Lepisosteus oculatus: one gene and its partners. Each later gene encodes a partner of the first gene's protein in a complex. Links are inferred from orthologs where the notes say so. Each region holds a gene or a part of one and is shown on either strand. Other genes may lie near its edges.

The links.
Region 2: the proteins of nfs1 (region 1) and iscua are in contact, whole or in part, in a crystal structure (PDB 6W1D), measured with the Homo sapiens proteins. The link is inferred for Lepisosteus oculatus from reciprocal best matches to the Homo sapiens genes NFS1 and ISCU. Residues at the interface, in NP_066923.3 of Homo sapiens: Tyr360, Val361, Glu362, Glu364, Ser365, Leu367, Met368, Ala369, Lys371, Glu399, Asp400, His403, Ser404, His429, Arg432, Leu433, Glu435, Met436, Ser437, Pro438, Leu439, Glu441, Met442, Trp454, Thr455; in NP_998760.1 of Homo sapiens: Tyr35, Val40, His42, Tyr43, Glu44, Val49, Gly50, Ser51, Leu63, Val64, Gly65, Ala66, Pro67, Ala68, Cys69, Gly70, Val72, Lys74, Phe90, Lys91, Thr92, Phe93, Gly94, Cys95, Gly96, Ile99, Lys135.
Region 3: the proteins of nfs1 (region 1) and lyrm4 are in contact, whole or in part, in a crystal structure (PDB 6W1D), measured with the Homo sapiens proteins. The link is inferred for Lepisosteus oculatus from reciprocal best matches to the Homo sapiens genes NFS1 and LYRM4. Residues at the interface, in NP_066923.3 of Homo sapiens: Leu56, Arg57, Pro58, Leu59, Pro68, Leu69, Pro71, Arg72, Leu74, Asp75, Leu78, Glu314, Tyr317, Arg321, Asp372, Arg412, Phe413, Thr414, Thr415, Glu417, Glu418, Tyr421; in NP_065141.3 of Homo sapiens: Phe23, Tyr26, Asn27, Tyr28, Thr30, Tyr31, Arg34, Arg35, Asp38, Val65, Arg68, Gln69, Ile72, Thr78, Asp79, Lys80, Leu81, Ile82, Ile83, Asn85.

What each region holds. Positions count from the first base shown.
Region 1 is NC_090711.1:2,605,340-2,615,465, forward strand, and holds the start of nfs1 (cysteine desulfurase), read left to right. Parts: upstream 1-4,922; 5' UTR 4,923-5,172; coding exon 5,173-5,284; intron 5,285-5,761; coding exon 5,762-5,838; intron 5,839-6,327; coding exon 6,328-6,444; intron 6,445-6,736; coding exon 6,737-6,820; intron 6,821-7,323; coding exon 7,324-7,476; intron 7,477-7,843; coding exon 7,844-7,937; intron 7,938-8,053; coding exon 8,054-8,188; intron 8,189-8,977; coding exon 8,978-9,135; intron 9,136-9,451; coding exon 9,452-9,557; intron 9,558-10,126. Other genes in the region: pyruvate dehydrogenase [acetyl-transferring]-phosphatase 1, mitochondrial, read right to left, coding at 1,311-2,861.
Region 2 is NC_090717.1:6,282,074-6,292,125, forward strand, and holds iscua (iron-sulfur cluster assembly enzyme ISCU), read right to left. Parts: upstream 4,814-10,052; 5' UTR 4,735-4,813; coding exon 4,636-4,734; intron 1,961-4,635; coding exon 1,847-1,960; intron 1,486-1,846; coding exon 1,375-1,485; intron 1,290-1,374; coding exon 1,211-1,289; intron 871-1,210; coding exon 782-870; 3' UTR 186-781; downstream 1-185. Other genes in the region: sart3 (squamous cell carcinoma antigen recognized by T-cells 3), read left to right, coding at 5,845-6,030, 8,108-8,234, 8,783-8,887, 9,243-9,427, 10,032-10,052.
Region 3 is NC_090701.1:18,437,535-18,448,206, forward strand, and holds the start of lyrm4 (LYR motif-containing protein 4), read left to right. Parts: upstream 1-6,744; 5' UTR 6,745-6,771; coding exon 6,772-6,857; intron 6,858-10,672.

The DNA of each region.
Region 1 (10,126 bases):
TTCTTGATTAAAGTTCCTTTAAAGTATACACAGCAGTTTGTTTTTTTTTTCCCCCCCAAGGATTACAATCTTTGTAACATCCTTTGGTTCTGATATTTTTGTGCAATGCTTAAATATGGGATCACCTAAATGGAGAATGAGGCTTAGCAGAGGCCAACTATGAAGAGACTATGAATAGGTGGCATTCTTCCAGTTAGTCTTAAATCTTCAGAGATGAGTCCTCTGATATTCTGCCTCCTTTTTAGAATTTTTTGGGAAGCACCTAAAGTTACCTGTATTACCTGATTAATTTTAATTTGAACATTTGAGCTGTATCTGCCTGCAAGACTTAAGCCCTTAGACATGAATTCAGAAAGGTTGGTATACCTCGACATTGCATAAAGTATTTCAGGTAGGCCACAAATGAGTGTGCCAATACCCCTGTTTGGGTCAGACCAAAAAAAAAAGCTTATTTTGTATTTCTGTGGGACTTAATTTGTAAAGAATACCTTCCTGGAAATTTTTCATCTGCTTCGTTTAACCATAACATAAAGGGGGTTGCTTTATAGAAACTAGTCATTTGCCAATGGAGTCTAGAGCTCGGACAAAAGTTCACACTGATGAATAAAAGAATAACCCGATTTTTGTGATGGGTAATTCTTATGAGAGGTGCATATGTGTCTTGTTCAGACCAATGGGTTGCATTCAAATTGTTCAACCCTATACAATAATTGTACATTAAAATTAACAGTGGATGTTAAGAACTTAAAATGTGTAGTATTTGGAATGTGGTTAGAAACATAATTACACTCATCTGTTCTAAATACAGAGAAGTCGGGAACCTTCTGAAATAAATCCAGAAAATCCTATATTTAACTATTTTGCTAATTTAGGTGCTAAACAAATTGATAGGATATTATCTAGCTATTTTTAAAAGTAATTTTAATAATTCCAGATTTTCATTTTTAATGAAGTGCCTCTTTTGGGCATGAAGGCACCACAGAAATATACATTTTAAATGAGATCCACTAGTTGTCTCAATCCTAATATTTTTAATTATACAATCAACTTTCTGATAATGGCGCAAGGTCACTTTCTCTGTGACTGCCTTCCCTAGCATCTTGTCATTACTATTTGAACCCTGTAACACTGCTATTGTCTTCAAATTGTTAGCTTATTTACCAGGTGAATGTTTATAGCTAAGTATTGTTTTGAACAGTAACGATAAATGTTGTAAGAATATCAATGCAGAGAGATGAGTTCGTGTTCCCAGTCAATTTTATAAAACGATTTTACTGTTCCCACATAAAATGGTAGTGGGAGCTCAGCATTTACAAGGCAGCTGCTTTACACTGTGCTTCAATGATGGGAGTGTTCAGCTGGATTACAGTAACTGTAATGTCATCTCTGTACATCCTAGCCAACTCCTGAGGCAGGCTGAGCATCCTGGACAAGCGCCTAGGATCCAGACCTCCAAAACCGTCGCTTCCCAGGGCGTGGCGTATCAGATGCGTTGCGGTGTTGTGGTCTTCAAAAGCCGTGGAGGCCCGGGATTTCCTTTCCGCCAGTAAGCTGTGCATCTGTCCCAGGGTGAAGGAGGTCCCGGAAACCGGCTTCTGCCAGTGGATTCCCGTTAAGTGCTCCCCAACCACTTGAACAACATTCTGCCTGTGCATCAGGTCCCACAGGCCGTCCGTGGCCAGGACCAGGAACTTGTCTTGAGGCCGGAGCCTGTGAGACGTGACTTCCGGCTCTGCGGTGAGATAGGGAGGGGTGTGGTAGTTTGCAGGGAGCATCCTGGCATATTCGTTCGCAGACAGTATGTCCGGGCGCGCGTCGAGCACCCTGCTCAGGAGCTCGCCGCTCCATTTGAACTTGATGTCCCCAAAAGCCCGGAAAGGCATGAGAAGCCCCAGCAGCCGGTCGTGTTTGACGACGGTCTTCTCCTCCGTCGCCGGGTGCTCCAGGCGTACCCTCTCCAGCTCCTCGGGGTTCTGGGCGTTGTGATCGTTGCTGACGGTCAAGGCGGACCAGGTGCCGTTGCCGTTCTGGACCCCCAGCACGGCCCGGCTGTCCCCCAGGTTGGCGATGTGCAGGTCCAGCCCGTCCACGTGGGCGACGCAGGCGGTGCACCCCGAGATCGCCACCCTGAGGGGCGTGTAGTGCGAGAGGGGGTCCCCGAGCTCCACTTGCGCTTCCAGCGAGATGTCGCTGTCCAGCCTCTGGAAGGCGCCCACCAGGGCGGCGCCGATGTCCTTGTGGTGCTCGCCGGCGTGCAGCTCGATGAGCTCCTGCCAGTAGGTCCGCAGGCTGCTGAAGTACAGCTTCCCGGCGTCCGTGCTGACGTAGTCGTTGGGGTGCTTGTGCCACTGCAAGACGGGGAACACGGGCCGCTCGTTCTCCACCGCCTCCTCGATGTCCATCAGCGTCTTCAGCGGCAACAGAGACACCGCTATGTAGTAGAAGAGTCGCTCGCTGACCGCCTGCGCGCAAGCGTAGCCGGCGTGCCCGTCGAAGACGCCGAACAGCATCCCCCTGCTCTGCAGGCAGGTGGCGGCGCTCCTGCGGTCCTCGCTGGGCACGTTCGAGGGCAGGAGGTTGCTGTCGAACCCCAGGACCGGGCTGGCGTTCCTGCCGTCCAGCTCGTGGACCCCGAAGCTGTACTCGTTCGTCCTCAGGATGTGGCTCATCTGGGACGCCGCCATCGGGCCGGACTGGGCTCCTGCTCTGTACTTCCTCCTCGGGGTCTCCGCGGGGGGGTAGCGGCGAGGAGGCGGCCCCGGGTGGGGCCACACGGCCGCGCTCAGCGATCTCAGCCGGCGCGCTGCCGCCAGCTTGTGACGGTGGACGGAGAGATGATGGAAACAGTTTGCAGAAAGCATGGTCCTTGAAGCTTCCGGTTAAACACACTCCTCTCCTTGACCTGCATTCGAAATAAACAGAGTTAAGGGAATCGGGCTGTATCAACAGAGCAGGTGCAACTTACAGCTCTTTTAATCTTTTCTTTTGAAACGGTATACAGTTGTCAGTATTCAAGCCTCTCGTATTTCAGCCTCCAAACTCAGAGCTCCGGCTTCATCAAATCAATCCTGAAGTCGGATGAAAGATAAAAGACGCCGGACAGAGCAACAAATACTTCTCTCCTCGTCTAAACCGCGGTCCCAGACGCAAAGTCGCAGGTTTGTGTTGACTGATTTTACTTCAGTACAGCAGAACTGCTATTACACAACGTGTACTTGACAAGGGAACAAACAGTTTTAAAGGCAGGGAGATTTATACCGTAGGAGGGCTACGTGGATATGATCGTAGATGTTTACAATGTCTCTTTTTTAATATCCTCACCAATATTTTATCGGTGTATTCAATCACTTGTACTTCAATATACAGCCAATTCTTTTCTGTAGTTCACAAAGAGTGACATTTGTTCAGTACCACTTCAAAAACAGTTTTGTGCTTTAAACCTACCTTTAAAAACATATTTGTAAAGGGACTCAAAGGTGGACTTCGTTTTTAAAATGCACTTAAATAACTATCACCGTCATTACCTGTAACTGCAGGTGTTGCACACATCAATACCGCTAGTTTTTTTTTTAAGCCACATAGATAAAAAACAAAACTTTAATATATATATATAACTACAACTAACATTTTCAGGACTGTCTCAAAAGCGTTCACAAAGCGACGCACGGTTCTTGGGCCACGGATACCTGTCAGCCTGCCACCTGTACAGATGGCCTCGGTGTAAGGTCCCTCCCTTTGTAAGGCCTTCATACACTCAAGGTGAACCGGCCTGCTCTGCCCGTCCAGTCGTCACGACATCCAGAAAAAAAAAGAGCCAGACAAAGCACAGTCTGCATTAACGACAGTGAGGCCGCCGGCATGACAGGTCGGACAACACAGCAGCTACCTGCGACGACACAATCCGTGCCGACAGCCTCCCCTTCCCCCTCTGCGCAGAGAGAGCAGGTCGCTACCCTGCCATCCTGCGACAAAGCAGCACAGTGACATCGAAATACAAAGTCGTTTCTTTAAACGATTTCTGTTTGCCGTTAGCGTTCTCTTGTTATTATTTAGGCTGTTATTTGGAAAGGTTGGACGTACCGCCGGTCGTGGTCTCCTCCGCTCTGACGAAGTTTACCGTCTGCGGTTGCTGCTGAGCAAGAGCCCCTCCATCTTTCCTCCCGGCGCGCCCCGAGCCGGATTGCACGCCACGATAAAGCCGCTTCTCCCGTGGAGTTAAATTTTAACCTGTCGCCTCCTTCTGTACCTGTCCAGCGGCAGCACAGCCCCGGAGACGCCCTGGAGACTTTGTCCCCGCCGTTTTCAACGCTAAAGGCTAAAGCGGTTTTGTCGTTAAGAATGGAAACATGCAACACAAACAGCACGAAACGCTGGATTATTATTATTATTACACGGAGTCTTGTTGATGGATACAAGCTATTTATAAACACGTAGGTGTGTTCTGTCGCGAATTCAATACTGGGTTCGCAACAAAACCCCTCATCTAATGCAAGACTGTTCAGTTACCCGTACAAAATAAATGACATACAGTGGCGTTTATTTAAATGTCACACAATTTATAGAGCATGTATAACCGCAGATAAAAAGTACAACACTATCATCATAAACGAAAACCTCACTCTTTTAATCATGCACAGAACAAAAACGCAGGAAGACGCTTTTGTAGTAGACGTCACGTTTAAAAAAACACAGCCATTGTGGTAATTAAAACAATCAAGGTATTAAACATTAATATAAACTAGAACTACGTGTTTACAAAAACATAACCGAATTATTTCTGATTATTAGGCGATCGAGGCGCTACTGGACGGGACAGGTGTCGCTCAAAAACTCCCAGCACCTTGAGCTGCAGAGTTCCACGTGACGGTGGCGCTCTCTTCCCCGTTTTGGCTTCAGCAACAACACTTCCGGTGTGAAGTTGAAGGTCAAAGTGCACTTCCTGTTGTATACTCGCGTAGGTAGGGGTGTGCGCGTAACAGTGTGTTTGTCTGTGATGATGTAAGGAAAGTTATTTCCCCAGCTTGGTGTATCAGTCTGCCCTTCAGAGCGCAACTTTGCTCAAACGCAGTTCTTTCCCTTTTCGTCTTCCACGGATGTGAGTTTAGTTGAAATCTCCTTACTGTAGTGAACCGATTGTGGAGAGTTACAACGTAAGTTGTTTTTCGCGTTACGATGCTGAGCAGGACTGTGCTAAGAAACATTTTTGGAGCCAGCAGGGGTGGTTTTCCCTGTCGTGCGTGGAATTATTCCGAAAGCGTGTCGAATGCTAACCACCGGGAGAAAGGTAACAGTTTTTGGATTATACTATAAGTGCTGTTGAGTCCGTTTTACAGGTTTTGTTGGGTAGCCGGCACCACATAAAAACATGTCCAAGCAGGGAGCTGCGTCAACATGCGTAGGCTGCAAAGGAACAAGTAAAGGTTTAAAAGTAATAGGTTTATTCCATGCTGAAAAAAAGAAGAGAACACAACGTTTCGGCCGTGGAGCCTTCTTCAGGTGTAAGGAAGAAGGCTCACACCTGAAGAAGGCTCCACGGCCGAAACGTTGTGTTCTCTTTCTTCTTTTTCAGCATGGAATAAACCTATTACTTGTTCCTTTGCAGCCTACGCATGCTGACGCAGCTACCCACCTGAAGTAAAGGTTTATTTCTGTGAAACACGACGTTTCGCCTGTGGAGCTTTCCTTTCACATAAAAAACATTCCTGCTTCCGCCCGTGCAGTTGTCTTTGTCGTTCTCTTCACATGTGTTTGTTGTTGGCAGAGAACCTCACGGGCAGAGACCTGGAGAAACATGAGCTGCGCCCGTTGTACATGGATTTCCAAGCCACCACGCCGATGGTACGTCGGCTCGGTTAATTACCACATTCAGACATTCATTACGTCGTGTCCGCCCCAGGGGTCAGTGTGGTGGAGTGGTCAGGATGGCGGCATTCCAGCTCAGGGGCCCTGGGTTCCTTTTCGCCCCCTGGGTGCTGTCTGTGTGGAGTTTGCATGTTTGCACGGGGGGGTGTTTCTCTGGGGTTCCTCCTGCAGTCCAAAGTCATGCTGGTGGGTTAATTGGCTTTGGGGGAAATTGGCCCTGGTGTGAGTGTGTGTGTGTCCTGCGATGGACTGTTGTCCCCTGCTTGCTGGGATAGGCTCCAGCTGAATGAAGAGGGTACAGAACAGAGGGATGAGGAACCTCACCGTGTACTGGGGCAGCAGCAGTAGTGAAGTGCCTGCTTTCAGTGGCCATAGCAAGGGGGATCCGCACCCACGACCTTCTTATTGGCGGGGCCCCTCTCCACTCATGTCCAGGATCCCACGGTTGTCCGTTCTTCCCCGCAGGACCCCCGCGTGCTGGATGCCATGTTGCCCTATCAGGTGAATTACTATGGCAACCCTCACTCCAGAACGCATGCATATGGCTGGGAGAGCGAGAGGGCTGTGGAGGTGGCCAGAAAGGTGAGCCCGGCGCGCGCGCTCCCCCTCCGATCCACCGGGCCTGGGCGACGGCAGCCGACGCGCTGCAGGTGCCGCTCAGGCGTCTCGGGATGATCGGGACTGGGGCATTTACAGCAGTGGCAAACAAAAAAAAAACACCTTAAACTTCAGAAGTCGCGTGCTGATTTTGAGTCAGCTCCAATCTGAATTTAAAGCACAGGGAAGGTATTGATTTAGAAAAGAACTGTAAATGTACGCTTCTCTTTTTTCCTCCGTCATGACCCCGTACTGCTTTTCTGTCTTCCCTGTGTAGCAAGTGGCCGACCTGATTGGGGCTGATCCCAGGGAGATCGTGTTCACCAGCGGCGCAACGGAGTCCAACAACATGTCAATCAAAGTGCGCATCACAGCAACAGAAAGTTGCCTCCTCTCGTGTGTAACCCGATTGGTGTTTAATCGATGGTGTTGATTAAGTGCAACCTGTGCATTCAGTTAATGGTCAAGACTGTGTGGCTCATTAAGGGGCAGAAGGACAGACTAAATGGGCAGGGTCATGCTACGATTATAATAATGTTGTATTGAATACTAGAAGGCCGACGTCCATTCTCGTTTTCCCTTCCTGTCCCTTGTACCAGAATGTTTCTCATTTAACGATAGAGCGTCTCACACCAGCAGTGAGAGACCATGATGCCCACTGACCTCTCTGACCACTCTGATCACTAATTGAGCCCATTCATTGCTGCTTTGAAACACACACAGCCTTGTGTCCTAGTTTCAAGCAGGTGGTGACTATAAAGAGACAGACAAAGCCTGCAGGTTGGCCTCCCTTTCATGACCCAGGGTTGTCCTTCACCGGGTCCCCCCGTAATGCGATTTTCCTGGTGTTCCCTCGGACTGCAGGGTGTGGCGCGGTTCTACAAGTCCAGGAAGAAACATGTCGTCACCACGCAGACGGAGCACAAGTGCGTGCTGGACTCCTGCCGAGCGCTGGAGGCCGAAGGGTTCGACGTCACGTACTTGCCTGTAAAAAGTAACGGCCTCATTGATCTGGAGGTGCGTGTTGTGTTTGTAGCGGTGCGTTGGGAGAAGGGGAGCTGAATGTGCTTTCATTTGACTATTTAGATCTTGAGCTTCCTACAGCGTGTATCTCGGTATTCTCATAGTGCTTTTTTATTCAATATTTACTCATTGACTATAATTCAGGAAACGTGCATTACATAACCATACTCCACAATGTTACCCTTTTGGGTTTACAGACTTTCAGGTTGAATTACAGCTTTGAATTAAATCTTAGGCCGGACTTAGGTTTGTTCAGTTCTTACTAGATTAAAAATACTGAGCAGGTTGAAACGTCTAAGCAGCATTATGGGTGTGCTTGCCCACTTCTCAGTTTGCTCATCTGCCTTGTGTTGTTTGTCAGCAACTGGAAGAGACCATCAGGCCTGACACCAGCCTGGTTTCAGTCATGACGGTCAACAACGAGATTGGGGTGAAACAGCCGGTGAAAGAAATAGGTGAGAGACCCTGTGCTCCTGTTGCAGTTGGGCTGGCTTCATGCTTTTTATTTTTTTATCTTTCTCGTAGCCGTGTTTACATTTTCAAAGGAACTTTGTGTTCTGTTCCGGATCAGGTCGCGTCTGCCGTTCCAAAAAGGTGTTTTTCCACACGGATGCGGCTCAGGCCGTGGGGAAGATCCCGGTTAACGTCAACGAGTGGAACGTCGATCTGATGTCAATCAGTGGTCACAAGATCTATGGTCCAAAAGGTGAAGCACGATTATAGACAAGTGGTGCCTCTGAATTTCCGTTCTATGTGAGTCAACTGCAGTTTCCTTATTAACTGAATATACAGTACGTCTATTGAGATGAGGCGTAGGTGAGTACAAGTCGTATGAAGGTGCAGTGAAAACCAGAAGACGGTGGAGTTACTGTAGCTAATACCATTGTTTTACCAAAACCAATTTACTATTGCATTGGTTGTTATACAACTGTTCCCTATTCCTGTTGTCACCAATGCAAGACGGCCAACTTAATTGCTTGATGAGAGGCTAAGTAAAGAAGGAACTGGCTGAGCAAAAGACGTGCACTGGGACAAGTGGCATGGGACACTCCGCACTCCCTTGCAGTTCCAGCACAGGGCGCAAGGTGGCGTGGGTCTGTGTTGAGATCAGCTGATTTGAATGTGAGCAGTGGGGAAGCAAGGCAGCATACGTCAAGCCCTTCATTTCCGTTCCCCCTCATTGCAAAGAACATTCTCCCTGCTCTGATAAGTAACGTAGTGCTGTATGCATCTACAGTTAGGCTGGGGTGCATCGTATTTGTCCTGGCCTTCGTGTTTACCGCAGAGTTGTTAGCTCATTATTATCCTCAACAAGAAGCAGCTGGAGGAAGTCTTTATCAAGAAGCTGTGATCGTAGATGTCAGGCCCCCGCTGAGGATTTTGTTTAGGTGCACAGGGTTGAAGTGTTTTGAGGTCCTCTAGCTTCCGATACCCTGTGTTTCTGGAGCCCTGTGGGTGACGAGGTTTTCTTTTTTCTCTCTGCGCTTGTTGGCAGGAGTGGGGGCGCTGTACGTGAGGCGGCGGCCCCGCGTGCGACTGGATCCCCTGCAGAGTGGGGGGGGGCAGGAGAGGGGGCTGCGCTCTGGCACGGTGCCCACCCCGCTCGTCGTGGGCCTTGGCGCCGCCTGTGAGATAGCACAGCAGGAAATGCAGGTGCGGAGACCGTGTGGGCAGAGAGACGCCTGCTCCTCACGTGGACCAGAAGGGTTCTGCTCCGAATGAGCTAATTAAGGAGCTAATCATTTGCTGCACTTGACTGGATGAACAGTTTGCAAAGATCTTCGGCGGTTGAGCATTTAAAGAGCCCTAGAAAACCTGCTGATCCTGCTTTCTGCATTTAGGCTTAGCTCCGTAGATGCGAACTTTTTAATTGGTTTGATTACAGCAAAGATGGTGCAGCTGGTCTCCCTGCCCCCCATCTTCTCAGAACCTGCAAAAGATTCTCAGGCTCACCCTGTCTTCCCTGCAGTACGATCACAGGCGGATATCGATGCTGGCTGACCGTCTCCTCGGGAAAATCATGGCCGGAATCCCGGATGTGGTAATGAATGGAGATCCCGAGAAGAGGTATCCAGGTGATGTGCCGCTCTCGGTCGTCAGATTCGCTGGGCTGCGCCGCGGGTTCGGAAGCGTCAGTGATTGGCGGTGATGATACTGGCTGGGTTTTACATGAACCCGCCATGTCTGGCTTTTGCTCTGTTTCCGAAAGCACATTGCTGGGCAGGAGGTGGCAGGCTCCCCTGCAAGTTACCCTGTTTGACATTCGTGTATGGGCTGGGGTATTTAAATGCCCTTGTCAGATATGGGCCATTTTATCATCATGGGTAGTGGCACAGTAGCATAGTGGTTAGCATTGCTGCCTCACAGCCCTGGGGCCCTGGGTTCAGTTCCAGACCTGGGGTGTTGTCGGCCTGGAGTTAGTATGTTCTGTCTGTGTTTGTGTGGTTTTCTCCGGGTGCTCCGGTTTCCTCCCACAGTCCAGAGACATGCTGGTAAGTAAATAGGCTTCTGGGATAATTGGCTGTGGTGTGAGTGTGCGTGTCTGTGTTTGTCCGTCTGCCCTGCAATGGTCTGACGTCCCGTCCAGGTTGTATTCTGCTTTGTGCCTGCTGCTTGCTGAGACGGGCTCCGGCTCCCCCACCAC
Region 2 (10,052 bases), on another chromosome or scaffold:
GGCAGGTTGTTTCACCAAAAAGGAGCACAGAAATCTGCCAAATGTTATTTTGCTAAAAACGTTTAAGAATTCCCTCTCCTCAAAAGGTCACACTAATGAGACTACAGCCGTAGTGAACAGCATTTTTCCCCAACCTCCCAATGTAACAAATAAGTATTTTTGACCATTAGTTATCATACAGTAAGCCATTTTGAATGTTGTTTTTATTATACAGACTGCACACTGTATTATATACATACTGTAAAGAGATGCATTTTACAACCATTTAGCCAACACAGAACTGCACTGCCAATTTATACACAGCAAATAAACATGGTATAAAATGTGAATGCTGGATGCAGTTTTCTTCTTTCCCGTTACAGACACATTTGTGTTACTAATGAAGATGCAAAATAATTCCAGGTATGTCCTGCAGGTCTTGGTAGGGCTTCATATATTTTTATCATGTTGGTATCACTCCACCTGTTTCTTGTGTGTGCGCATTATAATGCCACTATCAGTTTTCAAAATGTTTAAACAGAAAACTAATCCATACAATAAGATACAAATCAGAAAAAAACAAATGGCTGCAAAACAAGTATAATAAAAAAACAGCTATGCAATCTTCCTGACAGATAAGGCTTTTACTTCACATCAATCACCAAAGAAGCTATATTACATTGTGCGTTCCAGTCTAGAGTGATTGTGTAAAACTTGCTGTTTTCTTCGCCTTTGTAGACATTGCAACGCTTGAATGCTGGAATGAGAACTCTCTGTCTTGAATGGTGTAGATGGCGCCCGTCTAATTACTGGCGTGTGCTGTTTTATCGTTGTCTTGCTGTTTCAGTCTATAGTCAGCTAAAGCAGCTTTAATAGCATCTTCAGCAAGCACTGGCAAAACAAAGAAAAAACTGTTAGACTTGTCATGGTCAATACTTTCAATAAAGGCAACACTGTTAGATGTTAGGTGCTCTAAAAAGAATGGACACTGATAGGTTCATAAGTCAATGCATTTGTTTCTTAGTCCAAGACTAATGCTAAACAGGGTCCATCTAACAATCTACATTAGCAGTCCTGGACCAATACTAACATGAGTATGGGAAATCAGTCCTAAAACCCCACCGTTACAGCTGATAATTTACATTTTTTAGCAATTTTAGGAGATGAATGAAAAGATGGTGATAGGGTCTTGTGCTGAAAACAGATTGGAAACAATAGTGCATTAACTTACTTGAGCAATGCAGTTTGACAGGAGGAAGGCTAAGTTCTTTGGCAATTTCAGTGTTCTTGATTTTAAGGGCTTCGTCAATCTGCAAAGAAAAGAGCAAATTCAGTGATTAAATCCTTGCAAATAAGATAAATGTTCCAAAAATAATCGTGTAAAAAGTTACCTACCGATTTGCCCTTAACCCACTCTGTTGCCAAAGAACTGGATGCAATTGCCGACCCACAGCCAAACGTTTTAAATCTGGCATCAACAATCTTCCCCTGCTCATCCACTTCAATCTGCAAAGACACGGGGCCAAATTCAAGGTCAGGGTTTACTAAAAACTGTGAATACTTCTCATCCAAAACGTGAGCTTAATTTAGTTGTTCTCTACTGCAAACATCCCATACGAGCGCAAGTCTCATGGGAGTCGCAAGCTCATCTGGTAATGGCCATGGATACCAAGAACAGTTCGCTTTAAAGCTTCAAAAGCTAAGCACATAACACTTTTTGTATCTATCCTGACAAAGTACGTGTTAAATATAATTGGATGGTAGCTGTATTCAGTTAAGGTCACATTATCATAGCAAATGTGGCAATCACAGTAGAACAGGAATGTAAAGGGTGTATCATGCACAGGTAACTGCACAGCTAACTTACTTGTAATTTCATGACATCGCCACATGCGGGCGCTCCCACTAGTCCAGTGCCAACGTTCTTTGCATTCTTGTCGAGGGAGCCCACGTTCCTGGGGTTCTCATAATGATCCACCACCTTTAAAGAAACAAAAATGTCCCTGATTTATTCTTCTATGTCTTTATTGCAATCGTGACCCCATGGGTGGAAGACTTTAAAGGACACCATTTAAAAAAAAAAGTAAGAGGAGTCCCACCACCTTCCAAAACAAAAACCAGAACAGACTGATCTACTGAAAAACAGGCTGATTATCTTGTCAATCGTACGTTTAAGCACCTGATCCTCATCCCCTCCCTACAATAGAGTATTCTGGGCAGCACCGAGTCACACTCTCGGGGGGTGGATGGACACTGGATATACTCTATTAATAAGGCCGCAGGTTTATAGTCGAGCATTGTAATTTGCACATCAAACAGCAGGTTAAGGTTTACTGATGAAGCTAATGGGGCTTTAATAGATTACAGACAAAGCTGAACACAAGATTATGATTCCTGTAAAATGTGGCATCTGCGTGAAACTGAGGGTAACTATTTTTAATGGTGACCAGCAAAGGAAAACCTTGTGTGGGTAACATTTCACACAACCTGATCATTATAGTGCAATTGGGCCCAGGTAATTTTTCCCCCCAATGCCATATAGTTTACAATAATCTATGCTTTCAAAAAAAAAAAACATTTATAAAACTAGATATTCACGAATCTGAGTGAAAAAAGTCTGGGTCCCCGTCTCATCCCAAGTATCTGAATCTATTTTTAAAAAATCTCTAGGTCATTCTCAAATTCTCAAGTCCGGACATGATCCATCCATCTTCTAACCACTTTGACCTGCACAGGGTTGAAGGGGAGCGGATGCCTGTCCCAGCAAGCAAGGGAGTAAGGCAGGAGACTCCCTGGATGAAGCCAATTAACCTACCAGTATGAGTTGGGACTGTTGGAGGAGACCGAGCACCTGGAGGAAACCCATGTGAGTACGGGGAAAACATAATGTACAAACTCCACACAGACAGCAACCCAGGAGCCCCAGCACTCTGAGGCAGCCATGCCAACCACTGCGCCATCATGCCACCCCAGTCCAGACAATACTGCCTCACAAACAAACGCTAAGAAAAACATGTGTGTCTAATCATTATATTGTGGCAAGACAAGCAATAAAAAGGTGAATCATGAATCGTTCTTGAAAAGCACACTCTGAATGAGTGTCATTCCTCTCCGAATAAAGCTTGCAATCAGTTTCCGAAGTTCATGCTTCAGCAAATTAGGACAGATGATAAACACGTTGTTACTCATCTCTTGTGCCATCACCTTTTGTACCCTGCAAAGGAAGATCACATAACTCAGGTCATGTCTGGGAACGCTTACCCAAGGGGCTTAACAACTTAATGCAAATGCCCATTTTACCACGCACTGTAATCCAGACAAGGCTGTTCATCTTCACTCTGCCAAGCAGAAATCACCACCATGTCAGTGACAGACAAAAGGTGGGTTAATGCTAGCCAGGACAAAAACAGCTTAGCTCTAAGCATGGTATAAACATTTAAGTGACCCAGATTTCTTCTCACAAGTGTAGCGGGTACTTAAATGTGCTGTTGTGACACAACCTCGGAGCCTGATCTTGTCTGATCTCAGAAGCTAAGCAAGGCTAGACTTGGTCAGTACCGGAACCAGAGTACAGTAAGCCTCTGAGGAAAAACTGGGTTGCTCCTGTAAGTGGTGTTGGTGGACCAGTAGGTGGTGCTCTTGTGACCAAGGGTGCAAAATGCACAACAGAAAGTGCCAGTCTTTGAATTAATTAGTTTAATGTCTCATTCAACGGGTGAAGCATCTCTGATCCTCCATCTGATCTACAGTACAGTGGAGATGTTCGTGCAGAATGGCTGCTGCACTTGATCCACATGGACACTGCACACCCACAGTGATGTATGAAGTAAGTCCCCTCATGTTCATTGTGGTTGACAAGTTCTAAATGTAAGGAATTATTAATGATAAAGAAGGTCTTAAAACCATCCATTCCATTTACATAAAGGAACTTGATAATGCATGCCCCAAACACACACGTAGGGAAAAGCACTATCTTCTCTCGTCAGTTAATTAGTTAGCGAGCGGGGTATTGTAGGAGACAGCTCGATGCCCGCTGAAAGTACTTACAATACCGTTCTCTCAAACACAAATTGGTTTAACTGTTGACTGGATCAAAGCGGTTCAAGTTTTCGAAAAACTGCAGAATAGAACAAGTCATCCGTATTGCGTTTACGTCACTACAGTCGTCTCGCCGCTACGCGCATAGCGGCATTAATGACAGCATAACAGCGCGCCGTATTGCATGATTCAGTCCAAGCATAAGATTAAAAAACGCCTTGAAACGTTTTACGTCTTGAAAAATTCTAAAGGCAACAGTGTCGCTTATCAAATACAGAAGACACGGAGGGGTTCACCGCCGTGTCGTTACAGGCAAAACATGACCCGACCCGATGCCGTCACACGAGGTGACATTAAAAACAACGTTACAAAACAGGGGTTTTAAACTCCACCTGGAATCGGATGGCCAATTCCCACAGCTGCTTCTTTTTGTAGGTGTCGTTGTCGAAAGCGTGTGTTTTTCTAAAACGCAGTTAAAAGTTACACCAGCAAGGAACGCCCCCTGTAGGTATCCCATTACGACATACGCACGACATAAAAAAAGAGTCGGGAACGCAAACGGTGAGAATGCAGACACCCGGACGGCAGCGGTGAAAGACGGCCCTGTTTCCACGATACCTTTTTGTGATAAGGCAACGACACGGTGAGTTCCGGCGCCGAAAGCCTTCTGAAGAAAAACAGCGGGGAGCAACACCGCTTCACCATCGCCACCGCCATCTTTCCAGCGAGGATGCGAGACAGCAACTGTCCCGAGGCAGCCGGAGCGAGCGCATAAGCACCTTCCTGCTCGCGTGCGTAACGGGGGGAGGAGTTGCGTCTAATACCCCCCCCCCCCCTCCTCCCACACGTTTTGCAAAGGACATTTCTTTCATGCAATATTACCTAAGCAATTACATTCGAAACATCACGAACGCACCAACACCATTGACGGATATTCATTTTGTAACCGATTCTGTTCGGATTCGTAATGAACTCTTGGCAGCGTTCTGATTTGTTCCCGTCTTTTTGGAGGCCGTTTCTCCACTTTTTTGTATTATTTTATGCTGCATTAAATTTTTGAAAAATAAAAGAGGGGTACACCTATTCTTTCCCATCTGCCAATCCGTTTTATTGTAAAGAAAAATCAACACAGCAGGAGGAAATGCTCAAAAGCTTATGAAACAGTAGGCTTACACAACCTTAACTTAACGTGCAAGAAAACTGGGATACTGAGGGACAGTGACAACTGCACTTTCGTCTGTATCTTAATAAAAGTCCGAACTCCACATACCGTACTTAAAAAAATATATATTTTATTAATGCTGTATTAATTGACCGTGTATTGGACGAAGCCGTTACTGAAAATTCAAGGTTGCCCGGTAAATGGTTGAATGGAAAAATATTTACGTGTAAAATGAAACATAATGATGTAGTTGTCTGGTGTATATTTATTCACTCTGTTATTCGTAGGGGGTGGGAATTTTTTAACTATTACTACGGTAACACTCTATCATTACTCGAAGACCCTATGAAACATGGCCCTCCGCTGCATTAATAGAATCACGTGGTTCACTGCAAGCGCTGCTGGTCCCTTGTGACTGAAGGTCCTGAGGAAAAAGTGCGTCTGAACACCTGTGAAATCGCCTGAACATCCGAGTCGACTCAAGTGAAATTATACGTATAAATCGTATCGCGATTGACTGCCCTTTCCCACCGTTAATTTATGAAGGAGGTCGACGCGCTTTCATTGAGCTGCGTTGTATATTTTTCCGCCTTGTGATTTTTTTCGTGGGGCCGGGCGGTGTCTTGGGCAGCTCACCGCTGTTACCAGGCAGATCGAGTCCCAACATGGCGGCGACGGGGAGCGAAGAGGAGACGCAGTTGCAAGACATGGAGGAAGAAGCGGCCGGCGGAGAGAGGGAGATGGAGTCAGAAGAGGAAGGCATGGGAGTCGAAGGGTCCGATGAGGAGGAGGGAGACTCCTCGGACGATGAGAAGGAAAACGAGGCTGAAATCCAGCGCTTGGAGGAACAAGTAAGGAAATGAATGAATGGGGCTGGACGATATTGCAAGTGCACCACCGACATGGAATGATTCACTTAGCAAATGGTGTTTAATTAAACTGCAGCCCAGCAGTAATATTTTCCTTCTAAAGTCCTAACTGCACAAAAAAAATTACGAGCTCTAGGCGAATGCAGGCCGTGGAAACGGCAAAAGGCATATCAGTTGAGAAAACGCAATTGGACCGCTAATGAAAAAAAATGTATTTTATAGCTGCATATTCATACACGCCTGGGGATTTAAATTACTGCGCTATCTAGTCCTTTCCGACGCCCATTCATTTAGCAAGCAGGCGCACCGTATGCAGGTGAAAGCAACGTACTTACCGAAACGCAGAGCTAGCTAGCTACACTTCACAATCACCGTTGCTTCACTTCGGAGGTTGTGCACTTTAATACGAATGTAATTAAACTGTGTGTACGTACGTAACCCCTCGGTTTTGACACATTGCATCGCCCGGCGTGCTGCGCAGATTTGCCGAATGGTGCAGGAGGCTGTTGTAAATGCTGGTGTGCGGCGGGTTTGCATGATTAGAGAAGCGGGGTTTATTTCTGTCGTCCTCTGAGCTCCCAGCGGAAGCCCAGAAGTCAGTAACGATCGTGTGCCCCTCTAGATATAGGTTAACCTCACGTGACGATTCCCCGATAAAACCCCGTTTTTACTGACTTGCAAGTACTGTACTGTTTATGCCCGACACTGCTAGCAGTGACATTACTGAAATACAATTGACGAGTCGTTGCGTTTAATCCTTAAAATCGATCTTTTTAGCTCTCTTTTAGCGTTTGATTAACATAAGGATACTGGCCGTCATCCTTTTACCGGGTGTGAAACTTGTGCTACCATTAACCCTTACCCCTGTTCTCGCTCTTGTCCAGGGTGTCTGTAATCGGAAAAACAAGCCAGGGAAAGAAACAGGCGCAGAGAGTCGTTATGCGGTGAAATATTTTATGGGTGAAAGCAATGGAAGGCAATTAAGAGCTAAAGAGGAAAGTCGTCACACAAGAGCGGGGATCATAGCACAGAGGTTAATTAAATGTAGCCAAATGGACTTTAAATCCTTAGCAAATATGATCTTTCTAGTCTTGAATGTGTACATTGTATAAATTATAATGAGAATGACATGCTGCATAAGGTTGCATGTTATAATGATAAATTATGTATAAGGCTAAATAATGGGCTCCATTTACTTGGTGGCAGGGAAGGTATTGTCTGAGAGTGGAGAAACAGAAATCTGTTTTCACATGCCTGTGTTAGCTGATAACTGGCTTGGGAAGAAGACAGCGTTTCAGCTCCCTTACATATAGCCAATCTTTAATCTTTTGACGAAAGACTAGTAAGACAAAGTATTGCTTCAAAGAAATAAGCTTCATGGTCTTCTTTTCTGCTTTCCTCTTACAAAAGACCTGTTTGAAATGCCCTGTGTGCTATGTGTGATAAAGACCACAAGATCAACTTTAAAGTGTCCTATTGCCACAGCTGCAACCATTTTCACAATGCATGTCATTTAAGTAAAAAAAAGACAGGTGGTGTAAAATGGATATTTAGATGGGGGGGTTGCTCATTCATTAATTAAAACATTTCTTTACTGGGATGTGTTTTGTGTGGCAAATGGGCTTAGAAGCCTAGAGGAAATATTGGCTGTGCTTTTAAGCTAGGTGTGGCAGTAAGCATTGGTGCCTCGCAGCTCTTGAACCCTGGCTTTGATTCTGGACAGGGGCAGCTCCTGAGCTGTTTGTATGTTCTTCTTGTGTAGGATTTCACAGGGTGTTTCTAGACATGTGCTCAATAGGTGTGTGAGTGTGAGTGTCTCGAGATGGGACTGACATCCTGTCTTCTAGGGTGTTGTTTTCTGGGTAGCTGTGACTTTACCAGATTGTGGTGATGGGCCGGTAAAACCGAAGTTGCAGTGAGTTTTCTGTGTTATTCGGTGAGAAGACCTAGTAGTTTATGGCCCTCTTGTTCCCCACTCTGTATAAAGTACTGGACACTGTCTTGTTTTTGGGTGGACTGGGCTTTGCTTGCTCACCTGTGATGTGCTCTTGCCCAACAGCTGTCCATCAACGCCTTCGACTATAATTGCCATGTGGACCTGATTAAACTGCTCCGCCAGGAGGGGGAGCTGGTGCGTCTGCACAGAGCGCGACAGAAGATGAGCGAACTCTTCCCTCTCACGGAAGGTGGGTGGCCATGTTTTCTTTCACTGCGCTTATTCGTTAACCTGCCTTTAAACACCCCTTTCAGATACTGAGATTACAGGCTTTAGAAACATATGAGCCAATCTGTGTATTGTACACATTGGAGTCCATTGATTCACCAGTCTGACTGATCTCGATCACGAACATGGTCCCATAGGACAGTAGCTGTCTGTCACTTCCAGTACATGCAAGTGTTTGAAATGGAGCTGCAAAAATGGAAGTGAAGCTTTTTTTTAATATTCATGTCGGTTTTCATTCTTTCAATAAAGACCTAAATTGCGTGAAAAGGGGAAAACGAGCAAAATTTGAGCATCATCTTTTCCCTAGGTAAAAATGCATATTAACCCTGTCTTACCCTCGCAGTCCCTGCAAGCGCTCGGTTCAGATCTTTTGCACCTTGTACTTGTAGATGGATAGTTGAGACAGACTGCCTCAGTCCCGTGCAGTGATTTGTTTGTACAAAAGTAAAGGAAATACCTGTATTTTCTGTGGATAAATTTAAGTATTTTGTCTCATGCATTTCTACATAGAGATCTGGTTGGACTGGCTGAAAGATGAAATACGCATGGCAGATCAAGATTCTGATCGGGAGAAAGTGTATGAGCTCTTTGAGAAGGCAGTCAAGGATTACATCTGTAAGTAAGACTGTTTTCTTTTACAATTTATTAAAAATCTGGGCTCGATTGTGCTTGACCCATTCTTATTTTGCATACCAAATTAAGCCCTGCCATCTCCTTTATATGTTGCTCTTTGTCTTTGTGTTCCTTGAGTGATGTTAAGGTGCTTTATTAAATTCATGTGAATTTTGTGAATTGCAAAACTATCACTTTTTAACCACCAAAAGATATGTCAAACCAGAAATACTTTTAGGCTCAACGACATTTATTCATTTACCAAAAAAAGATGCTAATAGGTTATGTCTCCAGCACTGTTGTAACTGATTATTCATCAGGACTCTTTAATTTCCTGCCATGTTGTTTTGGAATGCAGGCCCCGAGATCTGGCTGGAATACGCTCAGTATTCCATTGGGGGGATCGGGACTCAGGGTGGGATACAGAAAGTGCGAGAGATCTTTGAAAGAGCCCTGACAGCTGTGGGCTTGCACATGACTAAAGGGACGGCCGTGTGGGAGGCGTTCAGAGAGTTTGAGAACGCTATCCTGGGAACTGTACAGGTAAGGCACGCCGGGCAGAGTGGTGCCTCTCCAGTCCTGGTCCTGAAATCAGTGGTCTCCAACCAGGCTTGTGGAGAGACCAATCCACTAAGTCTTACAGGTCGCTCTTAATCACATTTCTAAAAAATAAGAGCCCTTGTAAATGACTATATTAGGAAGTAAAAATGTGCTCAATTAAAGGAACCCTGTTCTTTGAGGCATAGTCTTCCGTTTCATATTATTTTAAAATGGCATAGTTTAACAAATCACCTGCAAAGGAAATTGATGTAAGTGTTTAGAAATGAGTGATTTCATGTTTAGTTATAAAACCCACTGAACTGGGGCTCTCCTGGACTGAGTTGGAAATGATCAATGGCAATTTGAATGTGGAAGTGTGTCAAGTACATTATGTGCTCATCTGCGGCACAGAGCTTGTATACGCACACTCCAGTAAGTATTGTGTCCACCTGGTCTGCGAGTACTTCACGAAGAGCTCATTCCTTTGCACCTGGAGCCTCTAGTATGATTTCGGTGTTAGTTCCCCATTGTTTTTCCCCTTTAGACAGATGCCTGCTAGTTCTGCTCCATATGGTTAAAACCTGACAATACCTTTTTATATCCACAGCCCCTTCCAGGCAGTGTTCCC
Region 3 (10,672 bases), on another chromosome or scaffold:
AATTTGCAAACGCACAAGGGTACAAGAATTTATTTCTGAGTCAAAACCGAACAATGTTAATTAGGGACAAAACATTTTATGCTAATTAATTAGTTTGATAGTCTTAATGTCTAATACTTTTTTATTTGATCTAGTAAAAATACAAATTTCAGTCATGTACAGGGCAGCACAAAAGGCAACAACCAATAATGTATATCATCTTTATTTGAAAAATAATTCAATGTGTTTAGCAGTACATGACAAACCACCTTACAAACCACAAAAGACAGGTTGGTTTTGGAACAACAAAACTGGTAGTGAAGGTGGTGCCCGTAAGGGAATTCCATATCACGATGAATCTAACAGCAAGGAGCTGAAACACATTATTGACCAATTATCAATAAGGATGAAAAGTTTTAAGCAGGATAAATAACAGAGAAAATATACAGTTTTAGTTTCCATTTACTAAGCATGGATTTTTTTAACAATTGAATGTCTCTCATGACACACATTATAATTAAACTATATATTTTCTTTTTTGGTAACGTTTGTCTTTTGGTAACTTTTGTGTAAAAATTGCCTGTTAACTTTGTCCTTTCATTTCCTGTAGCTTAGAGTATGACAGCTCTTCTCCGAGATGGATGAAGCAGGACTGTCCAGAAACCAGATGATAGCATGTAACCTCCTGCAACAGAAAGGCAGGCACATGACCTTTGGAAGCTGCCATAACTCACACAGAATAACACTTTGTCACTAATATAAGTAATGAACACAATATTGATCTTGTTTTAAGGTCAGAAAAGACATTATCTGCCACTGTATTTCTTAGTGTGATGTACTAACTGTATCTCAGTCAGAATATCAAGATCAAATGACAATTACTATGGGATTTCAACTGGTCATGTTGAGGACTTCAAATAAAATGTCACAACTAAAGTGATTTCTTTTCATCACTCTATTTACAATATCCAGTATAGAAATATACTGAAGCTGTAGCCTGAATCGGCAAGCAATAGACCCAAGGCAGGATACACCCTGGACAGGACATTATCGTTCACACATCCCTTCAAACAATCAAGGAAATCTATAGTATGTCATTTTGAAATGCGATTTGCGTTCTGTACATCATGTGGCAGCCTCAGACTCCCTATTTAAAACCCTCCCTTGATTCTATTTTCATTGAGACACAATACAAGTGAGTGTAAGAGGGTTAAATACCAATATGCTGTGTCTGCTCCCAGTCCTTCCGAGTCATGTCTGCATATCTGTAGCAGAAATCTGCCATTTACACTTGGCTTGGGTGCCCTGCAACACTATGCTCTAACCTTGAAGTAAAGAGCAGAATAATAAATGTTCAGCTCATGCACTATGGTCTGCTCAGCAAGAACAGAGAAGAGATCGAAGGCAGAAATGGCCATGCATATCCTGCAATAGAGCTTTTTATTTAGGATGGAGAAGAGAGGATGCATTTTTTTGGCTGCATTTGAGAACTACAAACTCATACATGCATAGTGTGTCAGAAAAGACACAGTGGTACATTGCACTCCGCATGAGAGAACACAATTTGATACACAATTTATGAGAGTTAAAGAAGAATCTGAAGTTCTCTGCAGTGTGATAGAGAATTATCTATTGTATCTGAAAATAATTATATACTTTAGCAACTCTGTGTGACTCACAGTGGTAAAGTAAACTATGTGACTGGATTACAGTAGTTGGAATGTTCACTACACCATATGAAGCTGAGCTGTGCATCCTTTATCAAACTTTAAGCACAAAGTGCACTTAACATACAATCATCATTTGCATGAATGTAATAATACAGATAGGGTACATCTGACTAAACTCTCCATCTGCAATTACTTCTCAATCTTTTCAACGATCTACAGTATCTACCGAGGTTTCCGTAAAACTTTCATTCGCTATGATTTTTTTTTGCCCTTCCTTTTGCCAATGCTTAGCAAATCTGGTGTAACGTTTATTTTTTTTTATCGACAAGTTTAGGTCACTTCATTCAGGTCTTTCACTTTAAAATCTGATCACTCCTCATCTTGACTAAGGAATGAAACAATAACATTTTCACTTGACTGAGTATATGCAAACATTGTAAAGCTTTATATACAGTAGCTGCAGTTGAATGTTTCCAGTATTTATCACATTTTTTTACAAATTACAGTGTTTCTTTCAGTATTGGGTTCAGAAAGTTTAAAAATGGTCTGGCCTTAATAAAGATGACAATACTGTAAGGCTCACACTGGAATGTGGTTTGAGACATTGGAGGGTTGAAGATTTATGGTTACTGCATACATAAGGGACTCCAGATAAGAGGTTTTCTTAGTTTGCTTTAAATAAAATGAAGCTGTGGAAGTTGAGGCAAAATAATGTATACATTCATTATACAGTAGGACTTTTTTTTAACCAATTCATTGGGGCAAATATGACAATGATTAACAGCTCAAACTTCTGTTCACTGAAGATCTTATTTCTCTTTGTACATATACTTGAGAATACAAATAAATTAGGGGGCTATATGTGGATGTGTTTGTTTTAAATAACTTTAATTACTATATTATAAAACTTCCCCCTTTTCTTTCGTTTCACCTCAAACAGGGCAAAAATACATTCATATGTAATAAAATATCCATCCATTTTCTAACTGCTTTGTCAAATTCAGGGTTGTGGGGGAGCTGGAGTCTATCTCTACAAGCAACAGGCACGAAAAGGGACACACCAATCCATCGCTGGACAGACAGATACACAGACACACACACCAGAGCCAATTTTCCCAGAAACCAATTAACCTACAAATATGTCGTTGGACTGTGGGAGTACACCAGAGCACCCAGAGGAAACCCCACACAAACATGGTGAGAACATATGAACTCCACACAGAGAGCACACCAGGTCCCAAACTAAACCCAGGCCCCAGCACTGCAAGGCTGCAATTCTAATTACTCCTCCAGTCAAAAAATATACTTAAAACAAACAAAAAAAAATAGAAATAAACTTGCTGTTTTTAAATAAAGTTGAGTTATTTGCCTACAGTGCAAATTTTCATTTGGTGAAGACTCTCCACCAGCAGAATGATGATTGATGATTCATGATTTTTTCTCTCTAAAAATGCTTTATTTTGATGACAAGTTTTTTTAAGTTTACCATCATTACCGACATCATCATAAGCAACATCAAAATCCATTCACTACTAGTGAATATTTAAGATGGTTAATGTATCATAAAGACAGTAGACTTTTGGCATTTTTAATATAACATGATGAGACCAGCCAAATATTTTGTCTCATGAGTGATGAGGAGAGGACATTTCTTCATTGCTTTACTTTCCAGTATAGGATAGATTTTGAGAAATTTCTCTTCTAAGCCCTGGACCAAATTCTTACAACATATTTCAGGGCTGTCCAAGCCTCTGGTCCTGGCGACCCATTGTGTCTGTAAAGCAGGAACATCTGAAGTGAAGTGTCAGTACAGTTGCTAAACTTGTCCTATTAAGCTAAGCAAGAACCAGGAATAGACACTCCTGACATTAAGCATAGCACATAATATTCAATAATAAATCACAAGCAATAATATTATAAGGATACAATTACCATCAAGTGTGTTCCAGTTCTACTACTATATACACTACTATTTAATCCCAGGCAGTCAGTGCCAGATCTCTGTAGGCACAGTGCCTAGGGCCTACAGAATTTTTAGGGCCTACGTAGGAGGGAAACACTAGTGACTAATGAAAAATGTGCTGAAACAACAAGCTTGTGATCGACTCTAGGTGCTCCAAATAATGATCATACGCTATCTAGCGGCTGTTCTAGAAACTAGAAGTATCGAAGTGATGATCACTCGGCTCACTCCATCAATCACGTGGTTGAGCATTAGAATAGTTGAAAGTGCGTTGTGTCAATAGACATAATTCAAGTGGCATTAGTCACGTTTTTGCACACTTCGGAGAGAAAGTGCCTAGGGCCTACGAACACCAAAATCCGTCCCTGCAGTCAGTGGGGCAAAAAAGGGTGGCGCAACATTGCTTCTAGGTGCTATCTGCATATAATTTGTATCTACTCAATGTGCTCTGTTTTCCTCCCACAGTCCAAAGACAAGATGGTAGATTAAATGACTTCTTGTAAATTTGGCCCTTTTATGAGCGTGTGCATGTGTATGTAGTGTAAAAAGCTCTGCAGCCCTGGAATGGATAAGCGGAATAGAAAATGGATCAATGGATAAACAAACTGTGGTAAGATGGCGGGAGCAGTTTGGGAATTGAGGCAGGAAACGCTATTGCCTGCAAGCTGGTAAATGAAGTAGGGGAAGGCATTTCTTGTAGCCGATGTGAAAGTTCAACTCTCGTCAGACCATCAGAATGAACTCAATACAGAACCTCTCTGCAGACCCGGGGAGTCAGCATTCTAAAATGAAGGTCCATGTGAAACTGGCTTTGTCTGTGTTAAATTAGGAGCACATCCTCTGGGCTTTGGCACCAGTTTGCAGGGATGCTCTTCTCACAGGTCAGATAGAAGAGTAGTACTGCAGCAGGCAGCTCGCCCAGCCCAAAGCTTGATTTGGGAATACAAGTACCTCCTTTTAGTTATTGAAATCTGTGATCAGGTGCGCTCTTTTTGAATTTTTTGTGATTAAGCATTTGTCCTCTGCAATAAGTATTTTAAAACAGTTAGTTTTAAAATGTAAGTATAATAATAAACTTTAGTTTATATAGCACCTTTAGAAGTATCTTCTCTAGACGAGTTAAGGGAAAAGCAAATAAATAAACAGTTTCAACAAATGAATAGTAACTAAGTTAGAAGTTACAATTAGCACAAAGAAACACAAGGGATTAGAAATGTAATAGAAGATGCAAGGAATGACATCCTTTTACGTAAAAGCCTAATTATGCAAAGGTGGTATAGATTTGTCGGAGTTTGGGTCTAACATAAATTAATTTGCACATCAGGCAGAGGGACAAGCAATTCATACAATACGTGGAAAGGACTGACGGCAACATAAACACCACTGCTTTATGATGTTTCAGCGTTTATTGGATAAATACTGATGGCATTTAAATAAAGGTATCCGTTAAAAACGGAAACCTGAAGCTCTGCAAATAATACAGCATCTACCTGCATCTGTTCACAAATCAGAATTCTGCAATTCAAAACCAGTTCCAGAGATACTAATATTTTATTTACACAAATAGTCTTTACAGCTATTAAATAATTCTCTATTTCTCATTATATATTTTGAAAAATATTAACTTTGGTGGTTTTTGATCTCGGAGTCTGAGCGCAGTTGCATCAACCCACAGCCACGTAAGTAACAGCTAATAATAATATAAAAATTGCTTACACTTATATAGCGCTTTTCTGGACACTCCACTCAAAGCGCTTTACAGGTAATGGGGACTCCCCTCCACCACCACCAATGTGCAGCATTCGCCTGTTAAGTATTTCAACCACTCCGATCATTTTAATAGTTCCTGTCCTGGCCGAAAAGACCGATGCGGGATACTCAACTGTGAGATTGCGGAGGGGTGGCTCTGTGGCTAAGGATCTGCTCCTTTGGCTGGAAAATTGCCAGTTCGCATTCTGTGGCCGGCAGAGGAATCCTACCCTGTTGGGCCCCTGAGCAAGGCCCTTAACCCCAACTGCTCCAGGGGTGCTGTACAATGGCTGACCCTGCCCTGCACTCTGACCCCAAGGTTCTCTCCCTGTCTGTGTCTCATGGAGAGCAAGCTGGGGTATGCGAAAAGACGAATTCCTAATGCCAGGAATTGTACTGGGCTAATAAAGCAACATTATTATTATTATTATTAATTTTAACATAAAACTGAGGAACATTATCCCCGGCTAAAGGAATGGCATTATTCTAAACTAGAAGACAGCGGCCACCTTACCCTCCTAGGGACTTTCTGATCCAAAAATATCCCTCGTGTAATTTCTTTTTTCAACAGGCTTCGCATTTTCAAGGCAAGCAACATAAAATGAGTGTAGTAGAAAATATTACGTCACTTTCTTCTCCAGTAGCCGTTACGGTATTATCAAGCGCATTGCTACGTTACAACACCTGCAGTCTCAATTTCAAAACCCACTTTATCACGAAAACTGTATTTCCTTTACACCAAGATCTTTATTCATAATTGACCTTGCATTTCTACACCGCATGTTCATTTTTCCCATTTCTATTAAATACATAAAAAGCTTTATTTTACTGTAAGTTATATGTATCACTACTCTGTAATTTATTTTAGTTTATGGATGTCCATATGCATATTAAATAATATGCACTACTGTATATGTACTTTTAATATTTGTATTTTTTAGCACGTACATCACGTTTCAAGATACATTGTGTAACAGGATGGGAAAAAAATCTCATCCGCCTGAAAATACATAAAGTTTGACTAGCCTCACAAATCGTAAACTAATTGTTTTAAAAATGTTTTAAAAGCCGGCAGAGCTTTAAGAAACGATGATTATATGAAACACAACAAACGTCTCTCTCAACACAAACTCACTCACACTCACCTTCTCCGCTCTCCAGTCCTGACACTTTATTATTGAGCAGTTCCTGATTTGCCTGTTTAATTTGAACTTTTTTATCAAACTAAAACAATGGAATTAAATATTAGATTAATATTATAACATAAATATTACACTAATTAAATATGTATTATTACATAAAGCAATTTGTGGGAAATCAGTCCACAATTATTAAGATTTCTATCGAGGCTCCTCGATAGTAAACTATCCTACGGGCCTTGCAGGAGTAGGTCGCAGTTTTTTTCCCAAGATGGCAGCCTCCAGCAGAAGTCAGGTGCTTTCTCTGTACAGGCTGTTGATGAAGGAGAGCAGTAAATTTCCTTCATACAACTACAGGTATTTGATCACTGCTTATTGCTAATTACTCGTGATCGCATGAATCACATAGCGGGCACTTCATTTAACGCTGTGCCATGTTATACAAGTGTTGTCATTGCAGTGTAACAGAGCTTTCAGGTTATAGATAGGATCTGAAAGTACGGTTGCATTTTTATAGCACATAGAAGTAATGATATTATTTAGCAGCAACATCTGTGTCCTCTTCTGGTCCCAGCGGAGAATAACCCGCACTTGTACCTTACTTGCGATGTTGATATGAAAACCTGCTTTATTAACTATGACCTTTTGGTTATGTGTTTTAGTTTTCGAAAACAATAACCCGATCCACAATTAGAGGGATAAATGTATCTTTTCTTTCCTGCAGTGATCTGATTTATAAAGTATTTATTCCTATAGAATTACGGAGCACAATGTGATCATTTGTATTTTCTTAATTACAATATTATCCCGAAATACTTGAATCGAAAAAAGTTAATTCCTTGTCCATTGTTGTGCACCTGTGATAGCATAAAGTAAAACCTATTACACTATTATAATTACAAAACCTATTTTAATTAATTGCAGTCTGTTGTCGCATTAAATGTTATCCAAAACTACACACAAAATGATCTGTTTTCAGCATTTGATAGTTTTTTGCTTAAGCCAAAGCCCTCTCTTCTCTGAGTTGTTACACAAGCTGTGAGATAAAGGTAAAAGGTTTTGATACATTGGCATAACAGTTTATATTAATAACACATAATTCGACACCTTTAATTATCTATGTAACGATTTTTTACTATGACAGGCCTTGGAGAGCGCAGGTATACAGTATAAAGTATAAAGGATTTTAAAGTACATGAAGAGTAAAAAAGTTTTTCTCCAGCTTCTCCAACCGCTAGATAGAAACCCTGTGACACGAACAGCACAGCGCAGTATATCGCGTCAGTACACACAATACAATGCGAAGACAAATTTCACTTGGCTCTACAGAAACTGCTATTACTAGTACTAAATTTCAGTAGTATATCTTACAGCACCGAACACTTAATTTATAACAAGTCTTACACAAACCCTGAACGTGATGTACAATCATGTTTTGCACAACCATAAATTATGTAGCAGAAATCATACGCTTTAAAGATCCTGCTGTTAAAAAGCCTTTGAAACACAATAATGGTGGTTCTTGGCTTAGACAGTAATTTTGTCTAAATTGCAAACATGTAGATTTTCCCTGTTCGTTTTCTTACTTGAATTCCATGGGCAATTGATCATTTACAGACTGTTGAAACTATAGTAATGAAATTAAACTTGCAGCCTATTTTTGTGTAAAAATGTTACTGGATTGAATGGACTAAAAAACAAAGATTAATAACAGCTAGCTCCCCATCCATGGTGTTGAGGTTAACAAGAAAGGGCTGGATGAGATACTTGGATCAATTAACTAACAGTTAACTTCCACAAAATGGCTGGGTACCTTGTTGCATAGTCCCACATCCCCACGTGTCTCATGCTCACAATTTTAAATGGGCTTCTACATAATTTCCATTTGTATCCTCTGGTTTTTATCTTGCTTTTCATTCTGAAGCAATCCGCTGGATTGATGCTGTGTCACTGCGTTTTAGGACTGTGAATACTGTATATCAGATCTCCTTGTAGGATTCTCTGTTCAAGACTAAAGGGCTTGAGTTCCTTCAGCCTGTCAGTATAGGACATGTACCCAATTTACTCATTGTGCTTTCCAGATTGAATTTTGGTAGTTTAATGTTATTGAAACAAAAGTAAAAGTACTGGAGATAGATGTAGTCAGCTACACAATTTATAATTTACAGTATCTTGTTTTGAAAAACACCATAATAATCCCAACATTAATAATGTATTTTGCGGACTGGACGGACATGGACCTATTAAGAAAAATTGAAAACCTCCCCGACTCTCTTTCTACTTGTTTTTATCCGAAAAATTTTAACTCCCTTCTCACTTTTTCTAACTCATAACTTAATCACATCAATTTATCACTTTTTGCATCCATTTATATATATATTTTTAGAAAGACTAGGAAATATTGTTTCACAATTATCACATAAGTTAATTTTTAATATCCTATCTGCGTTAGTTTTGTACAGCATTATTAATATACAGTAGGAATGCATATAATGCTTAATATGCAGTATATATAACATTCTGACATTTCTGTTAACTTTCAAAACGTATTCTTTATGCGATTGTTGTTGTAATTTGTAAAGTAGTTCATGTTCCTGTGGATAAGAAATAGATTTTTTTGTATCTGGGGATTACCAGTTCAGGTCCTGACTGCCCTTTTAGTAAAATCAGGTCCTGATTTTTTTAGGCCCTCTAAGTTTTGTTTATATTCAATGCATCTGCTGAATGTTGTTATTATAATGTAAAAACAAAGTTTTGTAAAGTATGTGTGGTAAAAACACAATCCTTTACTGGGAACACTAGGCTCACAGTCTAGTTCCTCTGCTTGGCATTTCCTGATAGTTAAGATATTGAATGTGCAGTAAGGCATCCTTGGACTGTATCCCAGGGGTAGGAATTGTCCTGAGGTGGAAGCTCGGAGCTTGATGTATGGCACAACTGTGAAAAGCAGCATGGCTCCATTTTTGCCCGATCCTATTAGCACAGTTTTGCAAGTGAACAGATCCTAATTAAAAGTGCTCACCATCTGCCAGAGCCCAGCACCGAGGTGGCCCACAGCATTTACCTTCCCTCATTGATTACAATGTATTATTTATCACGTTTTTTGCTGTTTCATAAGATGCAGGATAGCAAATGCCACTAGCAAAACGGGAGGTCTTTACTCCTCACCACCTACAGCTAGTGTGATGTGCCCCCTTCCCACGAGATGTGTGTGCATTAGGAACTCTCTGCTCCACAGTTGTATAATCAGTATTATACCTTCTGCTTAAAATAGAAGCTGTAGTTCTGCTCTCATTTGTACCTTACTCACATTGAAGAACACTTTGCTTTTGACAGCCAGTGCTATATATATCTATCCTTTTGTTTGAAAAATTTTGAGAATTATTTCTTATGTGAATGAATTCTAATTGAATTGCCTTATTTTGATGATTATGGACCTTTTAGTTGGAAGTTCTGCGCCAAGGTACATTGGGTGGCTATTGCATTGAAACACTGTGAATTGGAGGGCTGCAATATCTGGTGTGGTCAGTACCTGGATGGGAGACCTCCTGGGAAAAACTAAGGTTGCTGCTGGAAGAGGTGTTAGTGGTGCCGGCAGGGGGCGCTCACTCTGCGGTCTGTCTGGGTCCTAATGCCCCAGTATAGTGACAGGGACACTATACTGTAAGAAGGTGCCGTCCTTCGGGTGAGATGTAAAACTGAGGTTCTGCAGTCAGCTTCTAATACTTCATACTGTTAATAATCCCCATCTATGAACTGGCTTCCTCACTCTGTTCACTCTGTTCTCCTCCCCACTGATAGCTAACGTTTAGTGAGCGTACTGTGCACACTATGGCTGCCGTCGCATCATCCAGGTTGGGGGTAGTTCTATAAAACAGCTTACATAGCCTTCATATGTAGTATTTGTATGTTGTATTCTGTAGCCCATACAACTATTATTATTTCATTATTATTACATTATACTGTAAATATGATCAATTCCAGGTCTAACATTGTTGGATCTTGGTGGACAATGTGTTTACAATAGTTCAGTAGTCATATGAAGTAATCAGTGATTCATCACGATCATAGTAAAATAACTATTGCTGTTGTTCTTTTGCACAATAACTGTCTTAATCAGGGAAACAAAATGCAGTAGAGCACATTGCACTAAATGAAATAAAACTGAAATA